3 linked regions of the Drosophila melanogaster genome follow. The protein of the gene in region 3 interacts with the protein of the main gene of each other region in a pairwise test. Each region holds a gene or a part of one and is shown on either strand. Other genes may lie near its edges.

Evidence for each region.
Region 1: the proteins of CG6770 (region 3) and Scp2 interact in a two-hybrid assay, tested with the Drosophila melanogaster proteins (one large-scale study listed by BioGRID).
Region 2: the proteins of CG6770 (region 3) and CG8414 interact in a two-hybrid assay, tested with the Drosophila melanogaster proteins (one large-scale study listed by BioGRID).

The regions. Positions count from the first base shown.
Region 1 is NT_033777.3:16,578,788-16,587,028, reverse strand, and holds the start of Scp2 (sarcoplasmic calcium-binding protein 2), read left to right. Parts: upstream 1-3,365; 5' UTR 3,366-3,465; intron 3,466-7,881; 5' UTR 7,882-7,981; coding exon 7,982-8,039; intron 8,040-8,241.
Region 2 is NT_033778.4:16,096,930-16,106,207, reverse strand, and holds CG8414 (uncharacterized protein), read left to right. Parts: upstream 1-3,599; 5' UTR 3,600-3,680; coding exon 3,681-4,098; intron 4,099-4,157; coding exon 4,158-4,373; intron 4,374-4,426; coding exon 4,427-6,514; intron 6,515-6,572; coding exon 6,573-6,838; 3' UTR 6,839-6,902; downstream 6,903-9,278. Other genes in the region: Rho1, read right to left, coding at 157-348, 411-491, 1,026-1,175, 2,434-2,589; mRpL34 (mitochondrial ribosomal protein L34), read right to left, coding at 6,907-7,129, 7,193-7,215. UniProt on the Drosophila melanogaster protein: Polynucleotide 5'-kinase involved in rRNA processing.
Region 3 is NT_033779.5:12,042,478-12,049,682, reverse strand, and holds CG6770 (uncharacterized protein), read left to right. Parts: upstream 1-3,564; 5' UTR 3,565-3,707; coding exon 3,708-3,917; 3' UTR 3,918-4,340; downstream 4,341-7,205. Other genes in the region: Plzf (promyelocytic leukemia zinc finger), read left to right, coding at 822-1,334, 1,391-2,287; CG6785 (uncharacterized protein), read left to right, coding at 6,692-7,205.

The DNA of each region.
Region 1 (8,241 bases), on a different chromosome or scaffold from region 3:
TCCCGGGCAGCAGGAGCTGCACAAGCAGCAAGGACGAGGACGGTAGCACCTCGGGCCCAGACGGTCGTTGGGCGGGGGCGTTGAAGGGTTAACGCTTTGCTCACCTGTCCTAGCCCAAAACGCCGCAATTTGCAACGCCCCACCCAGTGAAATCAGTGGACGGAGGACCTTTGGCTGGGAGATGGAAATTAGGAGGGGTCAACGTATTGCCCTAACGTTTTTTCGGCTGCTCGCCTTTCGCGGCACATTTAAATTCAAAGGGAATTCCACTTTCGGTGGATTATATGCAATTTCTTTCGCCGAAACACTCAAATTGTTTTACTCGCCATTTGCGATATGAGAATTCATGGCACATGGTACAAGTGTTCCGCTTCTGATTATGCCAAATGAGATGATTCCTTCGAAACGGCAGTGAGTGCTGCTGCAATGGAGGTAAATGCAATTTGGTTTAAGTTGCCCATGATGGCACACGAGATTTGCATTCGGCATCAGCCAGCTCTATTATATGAAAATACTGCTGAGCGTGTGCTTGATTTTTTACGGAGCTTATCTCGGTGGCATCCACTGGGTGCAAATGGAATTTCATATATGATTCACAAACTTTTCGCTGCTCCAAGATAAATGATTTATTTTCTTCTATTTTTCTTTCCATAGAGTCCAGAGCCGGAGACTCATCCTCGGCTGGGATACAAATGTTTTCATTAAATTCGGTTTGTTTGGTGGTTTCTTTTGTGACCCGCTTTGTTCTCGGTGGCCATTGTGGGGTCCATTGCTGCCATTTGCTACCGGAGGAGGGCCACCCATCTGCCACCACCCACTTTTGTTGCCAAGCTGGAACACTAAACAATACAGCAAAATTACTTAATTTCATGTTGGTCTAATCAAGTTGCCATTGCCGAGCAGGTAAGCGACGAGTGTGTGGCTGGCTGGCACGGAACGTCCTCCGCACAAAGGTGGCCAGCGGGAGCTGGAGCAGCTGAACCATATGCGGGGGAGGAGGGCAGCTGAGGGTCCTGGGTGGCAGCCCTGCTGTACTCAAATAATTTGCCGTTACCGTGCACCTTTAATGTGCCTACACTTTAAGGATTTTACAATTACCATTAAAAATATTAATTAGTTTTCAAGTTTTAATTTACGTATTTTACATTTACTACTAAAAGGAAGGAAAGAAACTTTTCTGTTGATTTGGAGGGGTATTTAATATATTTAAAAGTGGGATAAAACATAACGATGAATTTATTGATTCTTAAGTCATATTGCCAATGTACCAATTGTGATTTTTACTCCCATACAATTTGACCCACTGTTATATATTCATAATCATATAGCCTTTTACTGTTGTTTTGCTAGTTGCTCGACTGGGTTTTTGGAGCAACTTTTCTCAGTGTACTTCGTCCGCTCGTGTGTGAGCCACAACGGAACGTTTAGTGGTCCCACTTATGCGGCGGAGCAAAATGAAGGGAAGAGGCGATGCAGCAGACGTGGAATGGAAGCCCAAAAACAAAAAAAAAAAAACTACATGAAATAGGTGGACAGCTAAACGTTGTGAAATGGGGCCAAACGCTAGAAGGCATTCAAGATTTTAGTGGGTCTTTGGCCAGGCTCATGTTAATTTCAAACTGTGTCAATGTCGGCTTCCGTTTCCTGCACACACACACAGGACGTAGCCTTTGGCCACTTGAGATGCAAAGAGGTAAAAAGGCCACAAATTTAAACATTTGCCCACTCCAACACGCACCGTCGCTCCCACACACACACACACACACTTACAAAAAGAAATCAAGGTGGCCGGAACGAAACATTGGTAAAACGGTCATCTGCAATAAGCATCAGCTGCTGCTGGAACAGCGTGAAAGTGGAACAAGCAGAGGCTGCAGGACACCCGCTGGGCGAGAAGCACAGGATGTGGGCCAAAAAGGCACGGGGAGCCTGCTCCTGAGGCGCTTGATAAATTGGTAGCGACATTTCAGCCGAAACTTGACAATTAACAGCTGAAATACATGAGCTGTATATGTCTGCTTTGTGTAATTAAAAACCCAGCAGACAGCCTGGAAATTGCTTGGCCAAAATGCTTTCATTTTTTTTTCGGTTCTAGCCACTTTCGTCGGTTGGTGGTCCACTCTTGGACAAGATTGAATGCGCCAACAGAAATTATGCCGCCAAGTGTGCCTTATATTGCTGCTACTGCTGCTCTTGCAGCAGCTGTTTTGGCTGCCTTCTTCTTTGGGCCAAATTAACTTTAGCCAAGTTGAGTCCACAGCCAGCCTATGTGTTTGTGTGTGTCCGTGTTGCCTTCTTTTAAGGGAGAGCATGCCTGTGTGAGTGCTTCAGTTTATTGTGTGTGTGTCAAGGCTATGCTAAAAATTTGTCCAGAACATTTGCACATTTTGATTTGTTATGTTGTGGTGCACTGCAAACAATGTCGATGTATTTGGGTGGATGCTGTACGAGTATTATGTTGTATTGGGTCTCATCTACATCATCGTGATCATAATGTGCTGTTAGCAAAACTCAATTTCTTTTAAATCCTTTGGGGTTTATTTGCCAAGTTGTAATTAATTGAATTATTTCCCAGAAGAAATTATTATGTTGATTTATCTTCGAGTATACGTTTGCTGTATTATGGGGAGCGTGCTATAGTTTATTGGTAAATTAGTAATTTATGTTGACTAATAGATTGCCTCCTTTTCGGCTTTATCATTGTTTTTGTGCAGCTTAGACTTTGCTTCTTCGATGGAACAAAGTTTTGCGATAAAAGGGCGATCAACGTTTAAAGTTGGCTTAGGAAAACCTCTAGAACAGTTCTAAATTTTGGTAGTAACTAAACGAGAAAGCCAGCACACATCCCTCAGTGTCTTTTTGGCCACCCGAGGCGTCGTAACCCCTGAGCCCAACATTGTATGCGAATGCCGCTCCGATAAGACGTGCCATTTAATTACCAAAATATAAAGTGCATTCCGGCTACCAGAGCGCCCAGCATGGAGTTTTCTGCGAGTGTCAAATCCCAAAACAAACCCACGAGCAAATATGCCGCATGCTGATGACGACGGCGATGCCGATGTTCGGCTCGTAACAGTGCACGTGGTGGCCAAAAAGCACGCTACATGCACTACATCTACTCATACACTTACTCACACACGCACACACACACACACACACACACACAGGCTCGTGTCGGGTGCAGCACTCACTCACACCATGACGAGTGCAGAGGCGTCGGCAGAGTCGACCGAGACGGCGACTGCGATAAGATAAAGCCCCTGCGATGACATAGAGCACCCAGAGCGCTCGAGTTCTGCCGACGCTGGCAGAGATGGCGGCGCAGACGAGTAGCGCATATAAAAGCCGCTGACTCGATGGCAACGAGCATCACAAGACGGCCAACCGCGCTGCCGAGCAGACGAGTCCAGTTCGAGAGGGTACCAAAATTTAATCAGAAAGTGTAGAGTCAGTTTAGAAGCAACGGTAAAGTTAACGTCTATCTCTGTGTGTGAGTGTGTGTGTGTGTGCGAGTGCTAGTGCTAGTGCACCTGTGTTTGTGCTGAGAGTTTCCGCTACAAGAATAATAATGCCGCAACATTTTTCGAAAAAGCCCATTTCCAAAACCGACAAAAGAACAAGCCAAAAGTAACGAGCACAAGTGGGTGGCTCAAAGAGCTGCGAGGCTCAACAGGAACCAGAGCCCCAGTTTTCCTTGAGTGGGCAGATAGTTTGTGAAAGAAAGGTGGGGGTAGGGTATGCTGGAGGTACTTTTGCAAAAAACACAACCAACCTCTCGACAATTTAACAACTGGAAGAATATTCTTACTTCGCCCCACCTTGGTCAGGGCCATAATGAATTCATTGAAAGCGTGGCCAAAGTTTTGCTCTGGCCAAGCCAAGGAGAAGCGAACGCTGCCGCTCTAAGGATCCTCGTCCTGTCAGTCAGTCAGTCAGTCAGCCAGCCTGTGTCTGTTTTTTCGGTCCTGTTGTTTGGCCAGGCATGCGTCGGTGGCCTTAGGCCGCTCATTGTGAGCTCCTTGGCTCCACAGCTCCTCGGTGGCTGCAAATTGTAAATTGTAAAACTGTAAATTGTCAAACTGTAAATTAATGCAAATTACACGAAATTACTGCGAACCGGACAATGCAACAAAAGGCAAATAGTGGACGCGGAATACGGCGGACAGTGGACAGCGGACCACGGACAATTCCCGGAGCTGCATCAGCAGATAAAGAGCAAACGGCGACGCCACTTGCATTGTCTATTATTTTAAATTGGCTGCGCAAATTTACGGCAGCGCAAAAGTAATTAGCGACGGTTGAAAACTGTGCCATCGTCCAACTCGAATTGAGAATGAAGATGGGTGAGAATTGGAAAAGCGATTGGGTCATCTGGTCATCGGGGGGATTAGGCTGCTGCTGGGATCAGCAAACCGAGTTGTAGATTCCCTGCCAATGGCAGGCCAAATACGTATTCCACTGTCCAATTTGCATGCTGATGCAATCAAAACTACTACAATTTGTCCAGAAAATCGATCAATCGCATGTCTGACAGAGTGTAGCATACTTTTCAGCACTGCCTAACATTTGTCAGCTATCTGCATTTTTTTCGGACCCCATCCCACATTTTATTCTCTAATAATTTATGAGCTTCCTGCCTGCCCTCGCCTGTCGGGAATTCAGATTTTGCATAATAAACACATTGCAGCCCAAACCAAAAAACAAGAACCAGTTTATGCAAATCAAATTGTGTTGATAAACGAGTGGTAGGGTGTTCTCTAATTTGATTGCCCAATAAATTGCTGTATCGAATGAAACCATTTCGCATCTCGCGCGCCGATACTAAAAAAGCAATTAAAGCATTGATGTCTTCATATTGAAATTTATAACTTCACAGATGGCTATTAATTGCCGGAGAGGAGATAAAAGTCTGGGATTTCCGCCATATTTCCATTATTAGAAACTCGTTGCTGCGCTGCATGGCCCGAAAAATGAAAGCGAAACTCAAACAGAACCCAATTAACGAGCCTTCGGCGGTGATGTTGGTTAATGTGGTTGCCTCGTGCCACAAAAGCCGACGCAGTTTTGTGGCAAACAGCGCGTGGCTTTTATGCATTGGCGCATGAGTATTGGTAATTAATGGGAAGGCGGCGGCACAAATGACCGTGCCACAGCGACAAACAAACTTCCGCGCCACACGGCGTATGCGTAATGTGCTCGGCGCCCTACAAAGCGGAACCCAGCGGAAAACTGAAAAACAAATGACATCGATGAATTCAATTTGCGCGCATATTTAATTATTAAATGCGAGGATAAATAATACGCACATCAGGCTATTAAAAGGCTTTAAATTTCCACGGCCATTTCCCGTAGCCATTTCGAAAGTGCTACTGAAATGTGATTTCACTGCATTGCAATGCATTGGCTAGCAGGCTCGTAGATTATCCAGTCGAACTTAATCCCGTTTCCAATTGACCTGGAACAAGCAGACCATTTATATCACCTTTTATATATATTTATTTGCATTGATAAACTTATAAACATATAAAGATTTATGCTAGGAGAGAATATATCAGAATATAACAGAACTAAATAGTATGAATATTTTTGGATGAATATTATTGGCTCCAAACTGTTGTATGAAAACGGTTTCATTTGTCTTAAACGACGAACAAATTTCACAAGTGGTCTCATATTGATTTGTATTTTCCCGTATAAAAACATTAATTTCCTTATGCCCCTGGCTACGTGATTGTATTTCAGTTGAAAAGCACTTTTCATTCCCTTCTGGAAAGAAACTCACGGAATTGCAATTGCCAATGGAGATGGAAAGGGCGCCAAATTGAATATTACACTTTTTGTGTACTTTTAGCCAGTTGAGATGTGGATTATTTTTTCAGCATTCATTTTTTATTTTAACCAACATACTACCACTCCAATTTCACCTGATGTTAATTGAGGCGCACGTGGGAAATTAATGAACTGTGACAGTCTGATTTTTGCGCGCAAATGTGTGTGCATTAAATGCTAAATGAAGTTGACATCGGCTGCCGCATTGTTTGAGGCCATCGTTAATTTATTAATTAAACAAGCGATTTAACCTATTGCAATAATTGTCAAAATTAACCTTTATGACAGCGAAATTTGTGAATTCAATTAACATTGCCAAAGTCAGCTTTGCACAAGATTAATCGTTCTAAGGGAAAATGGAAGGAGGGCTTATGCAGCTTATGAATTTTTGCAATATACAGCATTATGAATACTGGGCCAGATTATTTTTTAATTTATTTTGACTCTTAACTTTTGACCTTGCTATGACATAATTTTAAATAAAATGTGGGTAATATTGTTGATTTTATTCCGTTTTTCATAAATTGTAATTGAACTAATCCACTTTTAAGCCAGCACTCACCTGCACTTCAGATGCCCGAAGGCAATAGAACCAATATTGATAATTCTTCCATTAGAATAACAATTTCCCCACCATTTTCTTGCATGTTTCAGCCCTGACTTGGCTTACAAACGGCAACCTTTTCGCCATAATAATATAATAATATTATCTTTAGTAAGAGTCAAATTTACGCGCACTTGACCAGAAACCTTTACGCCGTTCCTAGATCGGATGTCTTATTTGAATTTGCCTCTTGCCAATTCGATAAGCTCGACTCGGAGAAATTCTATTTAATTCCATTTCCGAGACAAACTGCATTTTTGCCAAACGGAAGTGGTCCGCTTTTAGCCATCAGCCATCAGGCATCAGCCGTTGGCCATCGACGCTGTCTTGGCCATCCCGGCATCCTCGTTGCCGTTACCGTTGCCGTTGTCATGTTCATTGCATTCCACTTTCCACTTGACATCCTCGCTGCAATTTCCCTCTGTTGTGGAATTATGCTTTGGCTACCTTAGCGGCTCCTAGCTGAGCGAAACAAACACCAGTTTCTGGGGTAAGGGATACCCGAAATGAACTAAGGCAAATATTTACTAGGCTTGTACAATGACTTAAGCCTCTTCCAAATAAAGATAGTGAACATGAACGATGCGTTTTGTTCTGCCTTTAAATTCTATTCGGGAGATGTATTTTATTACATATAGTTTATACGTTATATTTCTTTCAATTTCTTCAATCCGATAGGGTTCTGGCAAAGCACTCGGCACTCGATTTAAAGTCCCTTGAGACTCGCGTAACGCCACCCATAAACGCTGTGAATATGAGGTACTCTTTTAGAGGCAGTTAATGCAAACACGAAGGCTTTCACAGGCTTTCAGCTTTGAGCGCTGGCAATGGCCCGGTCTGGTCTTTTGATGTTTGGGGGCCTGTTTACTGCGTCTGCACTGCCAAGATACATTCCACAATGCATGCATGCATATATAGTTCTGTCTAATTTAGCACATGGCCCTGCCTTGCAACTGGCTTCTGATTGAAGGTTAAATGAGCCATGAGCCCCACAAACACACACATAAGCATACACTCGCACGCTCGCAAAGGGGGCGGGGCTGGGGGCTGTCTGAGGCAAAGCCATTGCATTTGTGTCGCTTTTAGCTCGGCACTCGACCCGCCTCTTTTCCCCCAGGATGCATTTGCATTGCGCACAACAGCGCTTTCGCTCTTTTCGCATCCTTAGACAGTCCTGTTTTATTTCCTTTGCCCGAATTAGCTGGCATAAACCAAGCCAGTCAACTAGAGCTAACCCAATCCGTTTTCCTGCTGCCCCTGGTTCTATTCTGCTAGTTTTGGTTTTAATATTTTTTTTCTTCCTAGACTGTTATTTTTACGAGGCAGCACCACCCCTAATTGAGAAAGAACTTTAAATTTAAACGCAGCCTTGTTTCCGAATACTCTTCATTTGCCATTTTCTGCCATCGACGATGTCCGTTTAATTGTATTTTTCATTGTCATTGCAGTTCCCCATTTCCGGTTGCAACTGTGGTGAGCCAATATAAGCTCAATAAAGAAAACAACCAGCGGTAAATCAAACACACAAAAAAAAAAACCAACACAATAATGTCGATCTCCGATTTCCGCAAAAAGAAGCTGCTTTTTCTGTTCAATGTGTTCTTTGGTGAGTATTTATCAGAATGAAGAATGACCGATGTGGAAAAAAGGAGTTGCAAGTCGCAAACCGCACGTGACGTCCATTTTAAGGGGAAAATCCCAGTCATGGGACGGGAAAACTTTGATTAGGTTGGAGCCGAAGTGGAGGAGTCGGCTTTAATAGGAGTGTAAAACACGGCCAAGATATTATGAGAATTTCTATAATAAAA
Region 2 (9,278 bases), on a different chromosome or scaffold from region 3:
TCCGATGTTCTGGTTGTTCTTGATGTTGTTGTTGAGTGGTTGTTGTTCAGCTCGTTATTGTTGTAAAAGGTGTGTATGTGTGTTTGTGTGTGTTTATGCTGTTGTTTTTGCTGTGTGTGTGTGTGGTAAAGATTTTCATGTTGTTGATTTGCTCTTTTAGAGCAAAAGGCATCTGGTCTTCTTCCTCTTTTTGACTTGCAGCGCGGCCCTAGTTGCCGTCTCGAAAACATCTCGCACACCCTCCTTGGACTTAGCCGAACACTCCAAATAGGCAAAGGCATTAATCTTCTCGGCCATGGCGCGACCCTCCTGCGGCTTCACCGGCTCCTGCTTCATTTTTGCTAGATCCTGTAAAATCAAGTTTAGTTTAGTGCTGCAAGTTCACCTCGTTCAACAGCGCGTATACGTACCCGAATTGTGTTGGGATCATTTCGCAAATCTTTCTTATTTCCTACCAAAATGATTGGAACATTTGGACAAAAGTGTTTGACCTGCAATAATGTAGTAAGGATTAGTATCATATTTTGATATCAGATTCCATATAGTCGAACTGCAAAAACAAGTAATTCGTAATTGGGAACCACTTACTTTCTTCTTATCTATATCTATCATTATAAATTAAAGGCTGAGAAGTAAGGAAATGATTCAGAAAGTCAAAGCAAATTGGCTCATAGCAGACTATTTTTAGTGATTAAACTAGAAATAACCAACAATTCTATTAAACTTTCCTCGTTCTAAACCAAAACCAGTCTTTCAGATAGCTTCAATGACATAAACAAGAACACAGAGATGCATAGTCTTAAAGATTCCATATCATAAGCAAATGCATTCGATAACTTCAAAAATGTTTAATATATTTTAACTGGAGTTAAAAGTTCAACTTTTTCCAAATTTGCATCATTACATAAAAATTAAAAACATATTTTGTCTAGACTTGTTAGTTCCGTATAGTATATATATATATAGTACCATACTTGTTTACGATCGTCTGATAGAAACTGTTCTGTAATTCCAGTTAAACTCACCTCTGGGGTCCATTTTTCAGGAATATTTTCTAGCGAATCGGGTGAATCCACTGAGAAACACATCAGTATGACGTCAGTGTCGGGATAGCTCAGCGGTCGTAGTCTGTCGTAGTCCTCCTGCCCGGCCGTATCCCACAAGGCCAGCTCCACCTGGAGAATCGGATGCGGATTATGATTGAGAGTTACGCTTGCAGTTGCGGTGTCGTCAGGGTTATAGATAGATGGGGCTTTTTGTGGCACGGGACGGTGCGATGCGGGCTCGGAGGAGAATGGGACAAGTTCGAGTTGAAGATAGCATGAGTGCGAGTACGAGAGTGTGAGCAAGGAACTTGACGGAAATGCCAAACGAATTAATCACATCGAAGCGAGGCGAAGTGGAATGACGTGAACTTGTGTGTATGTAAACGCTATCCAAACAGAAACACAAACAGAAACTGAAAATTGAAAACCCGCCATATTGCGCAGCAAAGGCAAACACACAGTGTTTATTTCGAAAAAAAGCGCCTGAAAATACTGTAGATCCCAAATGGAATATATGAACGAACATATAGCCAAATCATGACTTGATGCCCCAATGGAAAACGCACATTACATTCCATAGAGTAAGGGAGTGCGCGGTGGAGCGGGAGAGCGCTCCCCCCCCTTAGAAGAGAGTACAGGTAGGCAGGGAGAAAGAGTAAGAGTGAGAGCGCCCGAGAGAGCAGCAGAAAGAGCGGGGGGCGGCGCAACGCATTAAACTGTATGTGCGCAACGGACTTGTATAAGACAAATACAAAATAAAAAGAAAAGAAAACGAGCGGAAGGAAGGGAGCAGCACTACTTCTGTGTGTGTGTGTGTGCTGCCAACTCTCTGTTGAGCATGTGTGCGTGTAAGTGTGGGGAAATGTGCCCAAGTGTGACTTAATCACTGCTATCAAAACTTTGAATTCTTCGGAAAAATCCAAATTTGCACTCCACTTAACCAAAAATGATCTTAATTTTTCTTTTGCTTTTCCAGACACCTTTATTTATGGATGCGTCTGTGGGCATGAGGCGATATTGACTCATTTCATTTTACAGGCGAAGAAAAGGAAATACAACGACCAAGGTGTGGGTGAAGTTGTGGGTGGCACAAACAAGAGAACAATAAACACACACCCATGGGAACACACACCCGCACACACACACACACACACACACACACACACAGAGGCGGGTGGAAAGTGTAAGGAGGATACGCGCACTTGAAAAACGGAATGAATTGAGAATGCACACAAATTATAAAACGAGATCAGACGATTATCACTTGGATGGCAGGGTGGGGTTATCAGGGGAGGGGGGTCAGCCACCGGTTGGGGGTGGCATTCAGAGTGGTGGACGGGACGGGTAGTTAGGGGAGGGGCGGGCCTGTCCGGGAAAAGGGGCTTACCTGTTTGCCATCCACCTCGATGTCGGCCACATAATTCTCGAATACGGTGGGCACATAGACCTCGGGGAACTGATCTTTGCTGAAGACAATCAGAAGGCAAGTTTTACCGCAGGCACCGTCGCCGACAATTACCAATTTCTTGCGAATCGTCGTCATTGGAAGTTCTGCAAAAGGCAAAATCAAACTGTAGCTAGATGCAATGCAAGTGCAGCGGATGCCCGAGGATTCCGAGTCCGATTCTGAATCCGAATACAATTTTCGATTCCGAATCCGAGTCAGCCGTTCTGTTTTATATATTCGCGAAAACTGAACGAGCGCCTGTTCAAAAAATTATCAAAATGAAAAAGCCACACACACACTCGCATACAGTCACACGCACACTGGTGGACACACAGCACAAATACACTCGCGCGCTCGCTCTCTTTTCCGATAGCCCTCTCCCGCTCGCGCACACACTTAGTCATACTTGCGGCTGGACGGCGATCTAATAGTATAAAGTGTGGGGTTCTTTCTTATCTGGCCATTGTCCATTGTCCGTTAGCCGAGTTTTTCCCGTTTTTCTTTACGGTTTTTCGCATTCGCATTTTCATTTTGGTCGCGTCATAGGGCCGCCCGCTTCTCCACCCCTCTCTCCAACACTCCAGGAAACTCCTCTCTCCGCGCCCGTCCCGCTCACACTTTATTCCAAAAACATCTCATCATCCACTCTCGGTATGGCTGTGTGTGTGTGTGTGTGCGTGTGTCTGTTCGCCTCTGGCTGGGCGTGCGTGCATTTGTGTGCGTGCTGTGTGGAATTTTTTCACTTCTGCTCTTTCGGCCACTTACAATTTATATTGGTGATTTCACAACACTCAGCACGAATTCGACACTTAATTTGCTTACAAAATGGCACAAATTTGTTGATTCTTATGCGTCTACCGTTTAGCTATATCGTATAAAAGTTAATGCAATTACAAAAATTCGAATTGAACTCGACGATTTTTTCCCATGCAAAATGACGATGAACAATGTTCATCCGTTTCATTTCTCGGTAGCGGGATGAACGCTCGATGACCAACCAACGCCTTCGAGCGCAGGGCTGTTATTAACCCAATCGATAGTTCTCATCGATGGCAACTCTGTGCGCGTTATTCCCATGACCGACCACGACTGGTAACACCGCACATATGTTATTCTTGCTCTTCTTCTTAAATTTGCGGTCGCATGGCCCGGGAAGTATTGGTAGTTCAGCAAAAAACTGAAAAGGAATGCTTGACGAACATATTCTGAAAGAAATGAAACTGAGCTTCCAGCTCACCGAACAGCGAGAACTAGCCTCTGGTCGCCGTAAGCCGGAAAAACCACAACACCCACCTGCTGTTCCAAAGAAAAAAGTTATTTCAAAGGTGGCCAGCAATCCTGCAAAGATTTCGGAAACAATGATTCAAAAAGCCCAGATGGAGTCGCCCAAAAAATCCAAGAAAAATAAGACAGCCGGCGCAAAGAGACCTCTTTCCAATAATGTGTCGAATCCAGACAGTTCACCATCCCAGAAGAGGCTTAAAAAGGATAATACCCTACCCAAAAAGAATCCTGTAAATAAATCCTCAAATGTTGCAGCTAAAAAATCTGCAGCAACAAGCAAAAGTGCTAAGCTTCCTATTCCCAAGGTTCATAGTATAAATGGTATGCATTAGATCCAGAATTACAACCTCATTTTATTTTAATATATATGTATTTTTCAGAATTAGCTCCTAAGAAAACCAAAGTCAAGACGCCAAATAAAACAAAAGAAGCAAGTTTATCTAAGAAACATAAGGTAAATGGAAACAAGAGCTCAATGAAGGTCGTACAAAATGGTAAAGTAGTAGAGATAATTGGTACTGCAGCGGAAACAAGTGACATTGAAATGAATTCATTGGATGATTGGAGTGAAGAAGACGATTATTTAATTGAAAGTGGTAAGGAATTTTTAATATTACTCTTGTTTCTTAACTTAAACTATGTTTTTTAGACTCTGAAAACGATGTAGTTGAAGAAATAGACGAGACATTTCTTAAAGATCCAAAGATTTTTAAGGTCAAATGCAAAGGCCCCGAATACAAGTTATCAGATATTCTTCCTCCTTTTGAACACGATGAATACCAACCTCTTTTGTTGGATGGGGATGGCAGTGGAACAGTTCGAAAGATTAAGGTATTTAAAAGTGCACAGGAAGAAACTGACAGCGACGAAGATGACATTGATTATGAGCCAGAAGATAGCGATGACTTTGGATCGGAGGAATTTGACAGCGAAGAGTCTGACAGTGAAGACACAAGCAGCGCAGACTATGATAGTGATGGAGATTTCTACAGTGAATATAGCGATATGGAGGATGTTAGTGACAGCGATAGTGAAGAATTCGGAAGCGATATCTTCGACACCGACGACCTCGATTCAACTTATGAGCCACCTGACATTGAGGGATTCTTCGATCATCCACCTGTGGGTATGCAAAGAGAGCCGCTTATTATAGAGGAAATCTTCGACGATCCGCCTGTGGAAAAAAAGCAAGAACGTATTGAACAGTCAAGTGTTATGGATATTGTTGTAAAAAACTTAAGCAGTGTGCCCCCAAAGAAGGAGTCTGAAGTTGCAATTGAAACCGAAGAGAATGATGAGGTATCACTGCCTGAAGTTGTAACACCAGAAAAGGAAAATTATCTCCAACCAAGCGATGTCCCGTTTTACAGAAATCCGCAAGCGAATCCCACTGAGCTTAGCGTCTTTGAGAACAGTCTGAAGAGCAATCATGTGCTGGCCGTGATTAAGGAGGACCTCGAAGTTTATGGCACACTAGTGTTGACTCTACTCTGTGGTCAAATATCAGTAAATGGTTACAGAGCACGCAGGCAGGAAGCAATCACAATTTATTCTCCTAAAGGCCTTAATTGGGTATCTATTTCGCCAACCAAGACTAAAAAACCTGTAAAAGATGAGGTAAATTGGGAAGAACTCAACAAGAACTTTACACGCGCCCAGCTAGACAGGATTAAGACCAGCTTTCAGCGTCAGACGAATGCAATAGTACTGCTCCACCGAAACACAAGTGCCCAGCAGCTCGTCGATACCTTTGGCAAGCACATGGCGCAAAATGTATTCCCACTTGTCAATTCTTCCAATCGACCATTTGGCCAAAGTGAAACCCTGTTGCACTGTCTGATTCAATCGAGCGATCAAAGTCGCACTCTCCAAGTTCCGCAGGTTTGGAATAAGTTACAAATGCATGCAACGAGCCGAATAATCGTAGCCGGTGGTAAGGGCGTCGGAAAGTCTAGTTTATTGCGTTACCTCATCAACCGAAATCTGGGTCAATTCCCATCCATGCTGCTCATCGACCTGGACATTGGTCAGCCGGAAATATTTGTACCCCAGACTATTTCTTGCACCGTAATTGATGAGCCCCTTCTGGGACCGGGCTTCCTGTACAACAGGCAGCCGGAACATGCCATTGTCGTGGGCCACACCAACATTGTCTTGTGCGCAGAGCAGTATGCCCGAGCAGTTATTCAGCTAGTCCAAAACATTCAGAACGATGCCAAGTATTCAAATATTCCTTGGCTGATAAATACGATGGGCTATAATAAGGGATTTGGTATCGAATTGATGGCTCTGCTGGTGGATCGCATTCGTCCCACGGATCTTGTACAGATTGCCAGTCCCATTCCAATCAATAACTTTGATTCTGTCCTCGACCGGAACAGTCTGTCGCAGATAAAACCAATTATATACTCTGCGGAGGAGTTCAAGATCAATGAAATACCAAAATACACACTCCATAAGCTGATAAGTGCAGTGCCTGCAAGGGAAAAAGGAACTTGGAGTCTCAGCGCCAAGGACATGCGGTACTCCAATCTTCTGGCACGTCTCAGTTCCTGCCTGACTGGAAATGCCAAATCTCTTACAGACTGCCAGCCGTTGGGAGTGTCTTTGGAATCCCTGAAAATCCTGCATCCCACCAGCAAGAATTACTCGCGCGAAGAACTGATTCGAGGCATGGAGGCTAATGTAGTATATCTGTGCCATCACGGAGCAGGTCTGCCCCAATGTTTGGGAATAGGTTTGTACACATTCACGTTCTTTTGTGGCTTATTAATTGAATTCCAAAATTCTTTTAGGTGTGGTTCGCGCCATCGACTACGAGCGCAAGGAGTTATACCTGGTGCCAGCAATGCCGCTACAAAAGATGTCCCTGGTGGATTGTCTTATCCTCGGCGGGGAACAGTCCCTGCCGCAGGGCTTCCTTCGGGATCAGGGCCAAGGTGTGTCCAGCAGTGTGCCCTTCGTGTTCATCCTTGACGATTCGAAATCTTCGAAGAGTATTCAGCAGATCTACCATCGAGCGCCAGCCTTTCTGGGAGTACCAGCGAATCAACGAAACTAAAACTGAGCTTACTGTAGCAATCGCAATCGGATAACATTGTAAATAAAGTTAGGTTTATTAACACAAGGCTAGTGTGACAAATTGTGACGTCCTTTGAGGATCCGGTTCATCAGCACTCGTCGTCCCTCAGGCGTCGACATCCTAGCATTCCAGCCGTGGACATTAATTCTCTTCACCTCCATGGGTTTCGGAAAATGGCAGCGTACTTTCGGTTTCAGCACCGCCCGGTTGAAAGCGTGCTTATCCCGCACGATTAGAGTTTGTGCGGTGCTGACAACCGCCAGGCAGGTCCTGCAATGCCAATGTATGTTATTATACCACTCAAAATAAATGGTATATTCATTATTTACTCGCCTTTGGAGCATTCCTTGCAGCATGTTAAGTAATTTCCAGTTAGTATGACCGCATGAAGTCCGAATAATACCGCCTGAACAGCCGGTAAGCCGCTTTGGCGTTGCCAGACCATTGGGTTCGAAATTTCGAACTTAGCTGCATGCTATTTTACGTTAGCATGTAAAATGCATTACATATAGATGGAATCATACAATTAATCTAAAAAATCGTCATAATATTGGTCAAATGGAAAACCACCATATGGGGACAAATTAGATAAACCGCTTTTAATTGAATGGATCTGAAAGTAACCGAAAACTTTTTAAATATGGAATGAATATGTTTGGTTGTACATATATCGAATTGGTATTGTGCCATCTCTAGCTACCCACGATGGTTGTGGCAGCGCAGCTGTTGCAAATGAATCCACAAGATACATTTCGGTATATTTTCCGCAACGGATTCTTTTCCACCCTCAGTTGCGGTCACACTGCCTAGCCAACAACAACCACAACTCGGTGCCGTTAGGGCTGCGTTTGTTTTCTGCTCCCATTCAGCTGCATAGAAAAGAAAGAAAAGTGAAAAGTGTTCGGAAAACAGGCAGCATGTGAAGCATAATTACTCCACGGAATTACTATCTCAAACGAAATAGTTGTCGCCGAAAAGAAGTGCGTAAAATCGCGAGTGAGCTCGTGAAAATAGAATAAAAAAGCGCTCTGCAATTGAAGAGAAACATTGCTGCAGTCGTGTGTACGTGCGTGTGTTTGTGCGTGCGAGTGTGAGTGTCGCTCTCTGGACGCAATTTCTTTGGCCAAAAGAGTGGGGAAGTGGGGCAGGAGAGTCCCGAATCGAATCCCCGAAACAGGCAATCCGAATCCGAATCCGGTGCATTAAAAATAGCGCAACGAGGTGAGTAAAGATGCAAACTGCAGCATTCAGTTCACGAGCTGATGCCAACAAAAAGAACTCCAATTAGCCATGTCTGCAGCCAGCCAAAAAAATAATGAAGAACGGCAGAAAAAATACAACAAGAAAATCGATTTTCCTGAACTTACAATTTTCTCCGCCTCACTGGGCAAAAGGGGGGGCGAAATGGAGCTTGGGGAGCCGGCTACGGCTCCATAAAGTATACATAAATTGAATTTCGAAACACGGAAGCGAAATGGATGCACTGGACGAAATAATGAATAAATTATTTTGATATCGAAAAGTTATTCTCGTTAGAAAAAGTTTCGCTGAGGGTCTCGAACGCAGTCTGTTTTTATAAAAGCATATTATTTAGCCTTATCAAGCAAGAGGATGAATAAAATTGCATTAAAATGTATTTCGACTAAATTTCGACTTGCTATACTTTATTTCTCTGCGTGTAAAAGGGGGCAGGAGGCTGCACACGGCTGTTGTTCTTGTTTTGTTTGCTGGTGTGGATGATGATGGAAATACTTGCATATGTGTGTGCGTTCTGCACAGAGGGAGATGTAAAAATTGAAAAATCTGACCAGAAGCAGGACCCTCCGACTTTTGGTCCAGTTGTCATGGCCACCGCACTTAACAAATGATTTTAGCGGCCACTTTTTCCCGGATGCGAATGGGGCAGCTGTCACTCCGTTTGCCTCCTCCTCCTTTTCTCCTTTTTCTGATTTCATCTGTCTGCCCCTTTCTATCTTGCTCTCTCCCCGTGTTCTCCAACGTGTGTGTGTGTGTGTGCGTATTTTGATGACGGCACTCAGTTTCCGCCCGCACTGTGATTTTTGGCCATACACGGCACCAATGTTTCAGTACAGTGGAACCTGGTGCGCAGGAACCAAATGAAGTTAAGTTTAAAACTGCATTTACTGCGACCATTTATGAAATTTTTTAAATGAGTTACATTTCAGGTTCTTCTAGATTTGTTTTAATGTGAGTAAACAATTTCTGCTTTAAAACGTAAAACTCACATGTACATAATATACAATTGTTGGCAAAGCAATAAAAACTTATTACTACCATAAAAATAAATAGGTCGACATTTTCAGACGCAAGAACGCATAGAATGTGTGAACAATACGTACAATAGCTTATTGACACAATATTTAGCATTCAGCGGATTAACTCATCAACGTTGGTTTTT
Region 3 (7,205 bases):
CAAACAATAGTGGGTGGGCAAATTCTCAGCCTATTTATTTGCACTCGACTTTAATTGGCAGTGTAATGTTCGTTGGCCTTTGGTAATTCAGAACACAAACAAATTTGCCGGAGGTTAAGCAAGCGTATTTCCTATAGGAAGCTAAACAATGGATGCGTTATGATTTGATTTAACTCCGCACCGACTAATAAATTAATGCAAAAGCGACCGATCTGTTCGTGTGGCCGACATTCCGAAACCAACGTCTCCTCTCAACTGACGCTCAAATGTTCGAACAGAACTGAGAAGAGCTTATTAAGCGGGCCCTATTATTTGTTTAACTCTTCCAATTTCCCTGCAAGTCGCTGATGTTTGAGTGTCAAAACATAAATAAACAATTCAATTCAACACCCATGACGGTGTTTGATATTCTGTAAAGTTCATTGGCTTTTTTATAGGTTTAAAGTTTTGAAGTTTTGAAAGTTGAAAGTTTTAAAAAGCATTTTTTAAAACCAATTTTTATAATGTTCTAAAGGTTTCTAAGAATCTAAAACAATAAGTTTTAAAAATATCTAATCTTAAAATAACTAAAAATGTGTAAATGTGTGTATGTGCTGACTACATAATAATTAAATAATTAATTAAGTTTTTTAAACAAATATTTAAGAACTGTCTTTTAAATTCCCATTTTTAAAGTAACGGTCGAAAAATACTAGTCAGTATTTTAATACACCGTAGCGCATATTGGTCACACTGTTGAACAGCTGTTTAGCCGTCCTAAAGCAAAACATTTGATTATTTTGTTTATATCGAGTGCTAGTAGCATTATCTAAGCTGCAGAAATGCTGCACTCACAGACAATGCAATCCATACCCACTCTGCACCAGCCGCTACACTCCAAGGTATCGAACTATCTAAACAATCAGCGAAGAACCGGACAATTCTGTGACCTGCTCCTCGAACTGGATTCGGATGATTCCCTCAGCTTAAGCGTCCATTTCTGCGTACTGGCTGCTCAGAGCCAGTTTATAAACTCTAACCAGAAGCAACAGCAGTTCTCCATTCACAATCCGCTGAAGATCACCATCCGTAATTTCAGCTGCACCCAATGCCTGCACACAATTGTGGACTTCTTCTACGAGGATTTGGTGTCCGTGTCCAAGGAGCACGAACTGCATTTTAGGGAGCTAGCGCAAATTTTGGCTGTGACAGAACTACTGAATCTCTACCAGTTGCAGCCCTTGGGCGAGGCGAAGGAAGCAACGGAGATCCCAGCACCTGGAGAGGCGCAACCAAATCCAGATCCAGAAAAGAAAGCGGAGGCTGTGTTTGAGAATCGACAAAGTTACTTCAAGGTGGATAATATGTCATTGAGCCACTGCCGTAACTTATATTCGCCTTTTCCTTAAAGCTTAAGAACCCGCGAGCTGTAAAGTCCAGCAGCAAAGTGAACTACTGCATTGGCTGCGACTTCAAGTGCTATCAGGTACAGAAAATGATCGAGCACATGGGCAGCTGTGAGCCCTCCCATTTGATTTGCTCGCTGTGCGAAGTCGGCTTTCTGGACTGGCGGGAATACGACACTCACCTACGACGGCACTCTGGTGATCTGCGTAAGCCCTTCTTTTGCTTACAGTGCGGCATCCGCTTCAACACACGAGCTGCCCTGCTCGTCCATCAGCCTAAGCATTCCACGGAAACGCCGCACATATGTCCACATTGCGGCAAGGGCTTCAAGTGGAAGCAGGGCCTGAGCAATCACATCCTGGTCCACAATCCCGAGAAGCAAATGCTCTGCGACGTCTGCGGCTATAGCACCACGCACATGAAGGCCCTCAAGTCGCACAAACTGCTTCACACCGGAGAATTCTTTGCGTGCACAGTTTCAGGCTGCAAGCATCGAGCCAATCGCAAGGAGAACCTCAAATTGCACATTGAAACTCACAAACAGGGTCGCGATTTTATCTGCGAGGTCTGTGGCTGCAAGTTCAGCCAGAGCAAAAACCTCAAGCGTCACGCCCTCAAGCACACGGAGAATGGTCCGAACCGCTACAAGTGCCAGCTGTGTGGATTCAGCAGTCATCGCTCCGACAAAATGAAGGAGCACGTGCAGCGGGTTCACACAGAGAAACCGGTGCAGTTGGAGCTCTCGGAAACGGTGGACAGTAGCTTTCCCGATGACTTTGAGCTTCCCGTGATCGAAACGTCACCCAAGAAGAAGCCAAAGAGTGTTAAGAGCAAGACTATAAGGAATGTTAATCCTGACAAGCGACTGAAAACACTACTGCCCAAGGAGACTGTAGAATAGGAATAAAACGGAAGGTTACCCCATTCATAACTTCTCAGAGAAAGAGATTTGTGAGGCAAAGGTCAATAGTAAATATTTAGAATAACTATGTTGAAAAGAGACTGTATCAGCAAGTTTAGAACATTTGCTATATTTACAAAATGAGACGTGGGATCTCTCGTTCTGAGTTCTAGTACAACAAAATTGTATCTAGAATATTCACGGAAACCCAGTTTCTTTTTAAAGCCATTAAAAAAGAACCATCGAGAAATCTAAAGATTGATTTGCTACCAACGAATTGTAAATAAAGTGGTATATTGTGGCAGGTTCTTGAAACAACATTGTTGAGGCCGTTCTATCTTATCTAAGATGGTGACTACGATCTATTGCGTCGTTTGAAGACGAACTTTCAGAACGAATACCTGCCAAATGACTAACTAGAGCGATAGTTAGCACCTTATCAACGCCAGAAGGCTATGTATATATGTATGTACGTAACATTTGTTTATATAAAATCCATTAAACCAAAACAAACTGAAAGCTTTTCGCTATTCAGAAATAAACAAATGCGTTGCCTGGTGGGAGGGAAGTGGGTCAACCGATCAGGTTCTAATGCACCAAAATAAATATCCATTATGAGTATATCTTTTGTAAATCAAAAATGTTATTCGAATTATAATTATTGCTAAATTGTTTCTTGTGCCCTAACATTCAAATATTGTTGAGTGTAAAAAAATAAACAAATTTTGAGCAGTGTATCCAGAACATATGATGCATTTAATTCTATATTTATTGGGTGGAGAAACAAATGCAGGGTAAATGCACTTTGATGGTCGTTTGCGGAGGGCCAAGGTGGGTGTGTGTTATGTAACCACTCAGGAACGTGTGTATGCTTAAAAGTTCTTAAATTATTAAAATAAATGAACAAGGCGAAATAATATGTTTGGCGATTTCAGTTTTTTTGTTTACCGCGCACTTTGTAAACAGCAAAAAATTAAATTGCGCAGCAAAAATTGTCAAGGAGGCACTCTCTTGAGCGCAAAAGGGTTGTCAGGCCCAATAACTATGAATTTTAATAACTAAAAATTCTTTTACATAAAAAAGAGCAAATATATTTTGTAAAAGTTCAGTAGAAAGTTATAGAAAAATTAAATATTTTTAGTAACTACACGTAAGCAACAATTAAATGCCCTTCTAGTAGTTTCTTTAGCTAAATCCGGCAACTCTGACGGAGAGAGAGCTTTGGTTACGGAACAGAAAGCTTGCGCGCCTATAAAAGCCGCTGCTCGACCGAAAAAATTCAATTCCGTTCGCAGCTCAGCGAAAAGTGAACAAAAAAAAGCAGAAGAGAAATTTGGAAAGCAGCCTGCAAGTTTGCAGAGAAACAAAAAGCAGACACCAACCAAGAACGCAGTTAGTTTTGCAACCTTAAATCGCCATTATGTCCGAGGCCCACTTCGATGAGTACGAGCACTACAACTTCGACCATGACAAGCACATCTTCTCTGGACACAGCGGCAAGCAGCGCAACAAGAGGGAGGCCAATGAGCACACCAACCACTTCGATCCCTCCGGTCATTCCCGCAAGATTCTGACCAAGCTGATGAACACCAACAACAACAACAAGAAAGCCGCCGCCTGCAAGAACTGATGCAGGGCATCGACGGAGGCGGTGGAACAGGAGAGAAAGAAGTAACGGGGCCGCGCTGAAAGGAGAAAAGAAATCTTCGAATTTAAAAGGAAAGCAAAAGCAAAGGAGAGAAGAAAAAGAAGAACAAGCAGCAGTTTTGCTGGAAGGAAAGAAAGAAAAACAAAAGCCAGCTGGAAATACACATTGCATTTGTATTGTGCATTGGCTTTTCATGCGGCGCTAAACTTTGTGAACATTATAATAATTTTATTTCGCTTATAATTTCACAAACACAAAAAAAGAAAGGCACATACTACTCTTAGCTTCTAATATATTCCTAAACTAATTCAGACTTGCAAGTTTTAGTTGCTAAGCCTTAGAGCGTTTCAAATAATGAAGTTTGACTTAGGTAATACATATAAAATAAAGAGAAAACCAAAACTGAATAGCCTGGTCGTCTTATTTTCATTTGCATTTGCAGCGCACCTTTCCAAGCGAGAGAGCTTTTTGAATGCCGTTGGTGTGCTGTTGTGCATATTTATAGCCTTTTAGTTGAACTCATTTGCACTCAGCTCCTCGATTATCGCAAAAGCAGTTGCAGTCGACTTTTTTCTTTGTTTACAGCGATCGACCAAAAAGAGAACATGTATGAACATATTTATTTGTGTATGTAATGTATGTATGTTAGTTTGCAAACGGAAATATTCCCGAGACCTTCCATTGAAAGTTCACCAGTTACACAGGTAATTAAACTTGCACACACATATTCCTGCATCATTTCTTCCGGTTTAAATTTGCGTGTAAGGTTGCATTTATGAATATTGCGCCGCTTTTATTGACTTTCAATACTAAACGATATTTTTACATTAGGTGTCCAAAATTACAAAAGCTATGTTATTTTCCACTCACAAACAAACAAGCACACGTACAAAAATAAACCGAACAAACTTTTCCAGAAAGGTCCACTCTAATGGAATTCTCTCCTCTCTCTCGCTCTCTCTCTCTCTATAAACGCCATTTGCCGGCTTTTTGAATTGCGTTGTTGATATTTGGTAAACAATAAAACAGACTCTCGATCAGGTGGTTTTGCTATAATGCATATTAATGAAATTGTTCGAACATATTGACAATTAAAATTCCAAGACTCTTATGTATGTTTAAATTCGCATTTTGGTTAGTCATAAATATTCCTTATCTTCATTAAATAGCATTTCGTCTGAATCATTGATCTATCTAAAAATGTGGTGTTCCAAACTTCAAACAAATAGAAGGTGATGAAAAACCTGTTTTTTTATAAAATTAAACATTGCAATATATTGCGTGTTAAAAGTGCCTTAGAATCGGTTTTTTATTTTTATTAAATGTATTTCTAAATTAAAGATTCGTTAAACTCGCATTACAAAAGTAAAACAAAATCGATAGATAAACATTATCGCCGCGGTTTCAAACAAAGCAATATCAACAAATAAAATTTACAATCGAGCTTTTTAGAGGAAAACAAGCAAGAGGTCTAAAAAACGAGTAAACAATTTTGGGGGTAACGAAACTAGTTTGCCACGCTGCGTTTCGCCGGTAAACATATGACGCATTAATAGTTCAGTAAAGTCTAGAAATCGATAGAAGTTGAGGTCTATACATATTTACATACATACATACATTCATATTTATGTGTATGTAAGATTTGAAGGTAAGATAGTACATCGAATATACATACATACATATGTATACATATGTACATATGTACATATGTACTTCGTGATTGCACTTTTCTAGTTGCGCTCTTAAGATTAAATACTAACTTCATAACATGAGCAATTTTCATTTCATTTCAATTCGCATTAAAGAATAAAATTGTTAACATCGCTTTCTTTTCTAAGATATGAGTTTTAATAGGTGGCTACCTATATGTATCTATATAATAAACTATGATAAGCTCATATGTGTATACAATATTCTAATACGATATCCTTTCTTTTTGGTTACTTTGTGTAGTATACCAATTTCCCAAAAAAAACTGTGTATTAGCATTTTTAAAATGGTGTTGTCTTCAAATTTCGAATCGTTAAGGCGATCTCACCAATGTACAAACACCCCATTGATGTTGACTTAACGTATCTTAATTGTAGAAATAGATTTCTTTTCAACCCCATTAATGAAAGTCGCACGCTTGCCACGATTTGTGTCTAAATATGGGCATGTATGCAGCTTCCTAGATCGTGATCTTCGCCTGGCACACGACCGACGACGGACCTCGATGGCGGCCACTCCACAGGCGTGGATCTTTGTGCTCCAACGGCACAAAGCCATTCCAATTACGATTTCCTAAATTCCATAGTCCATCTTCTGGAAAGAGAATCATATTGCACACTTTCACCGCGAAAAAAAAAAACGAATTTGTGGCGAACAACAAAATCGGGAATTATGCATAACTGAATGGAGAATGGAAGTTAGCATCGGATGGGATGGGATCGTAGTACTGGCTACATTGGTGATATGGATGGTGCTAATTGCCGCGGCACTTGGTGGCTTGGATGAACCGTTAAATCGAAACTGGAGCACTGGCCCAATAACGATGATGCACGCGGCCCGCGGATTAGCACCTTTCAACGAGCCACTACGGATGGATGTTCTAGATACCCAAAAACCCGCCATTAGCACCATTGCCGGGCGGAGTTTTTCTGGCTCAGCATTGGGACATCTTCGGTTAGTTGTCGACTTAACTCCGAGCCAACTGGCCGTGCGGTGTGTGCTGAACCAGGATTCGAAACAATAGAATCAATAGTGACAAACGGATAATGTCTGCCTACGAGAAAATGCCGGCGAAGGCGCCACGACGCCTCTCACCCATATGGTTTCTGGTGGTCACGTTTCTTCTCTTTGCCACCACCTTAACGGCGCTGGCCGTGATCGAAGCTGGACGGGCACAGAGCAACGCGGGCGGAGAAAGCGATCTCCTAATCCTTACGCGCATGTGGAATCATTTCAAGTCCGGTGCCGATAATGATACAGAAATTGCCACGGTGGAGCGAATTGCTAGGGATGCCGGAAATGCAAGCAATCCGAGTGCATCCGCATCGCAGCAGGGCAGAAACTTCTACGAGGAGCAGCAGGCGGTGGTGGTGAATGCAGAGAGCATGGATTCTCCCGTGTTGGGACAACGCCAGGATGCCTACGGTCCGCCGCAGAGTCGCGAGGATTCCTACGAGCAGGATCCGTACTACGATGTGGCCGATGACTACGGACCTGAACGATATCCCAGTGCAGAGTCCAAGCAGGAGTCGGAAGAGGATGAGCGTTTCTATGATAAGG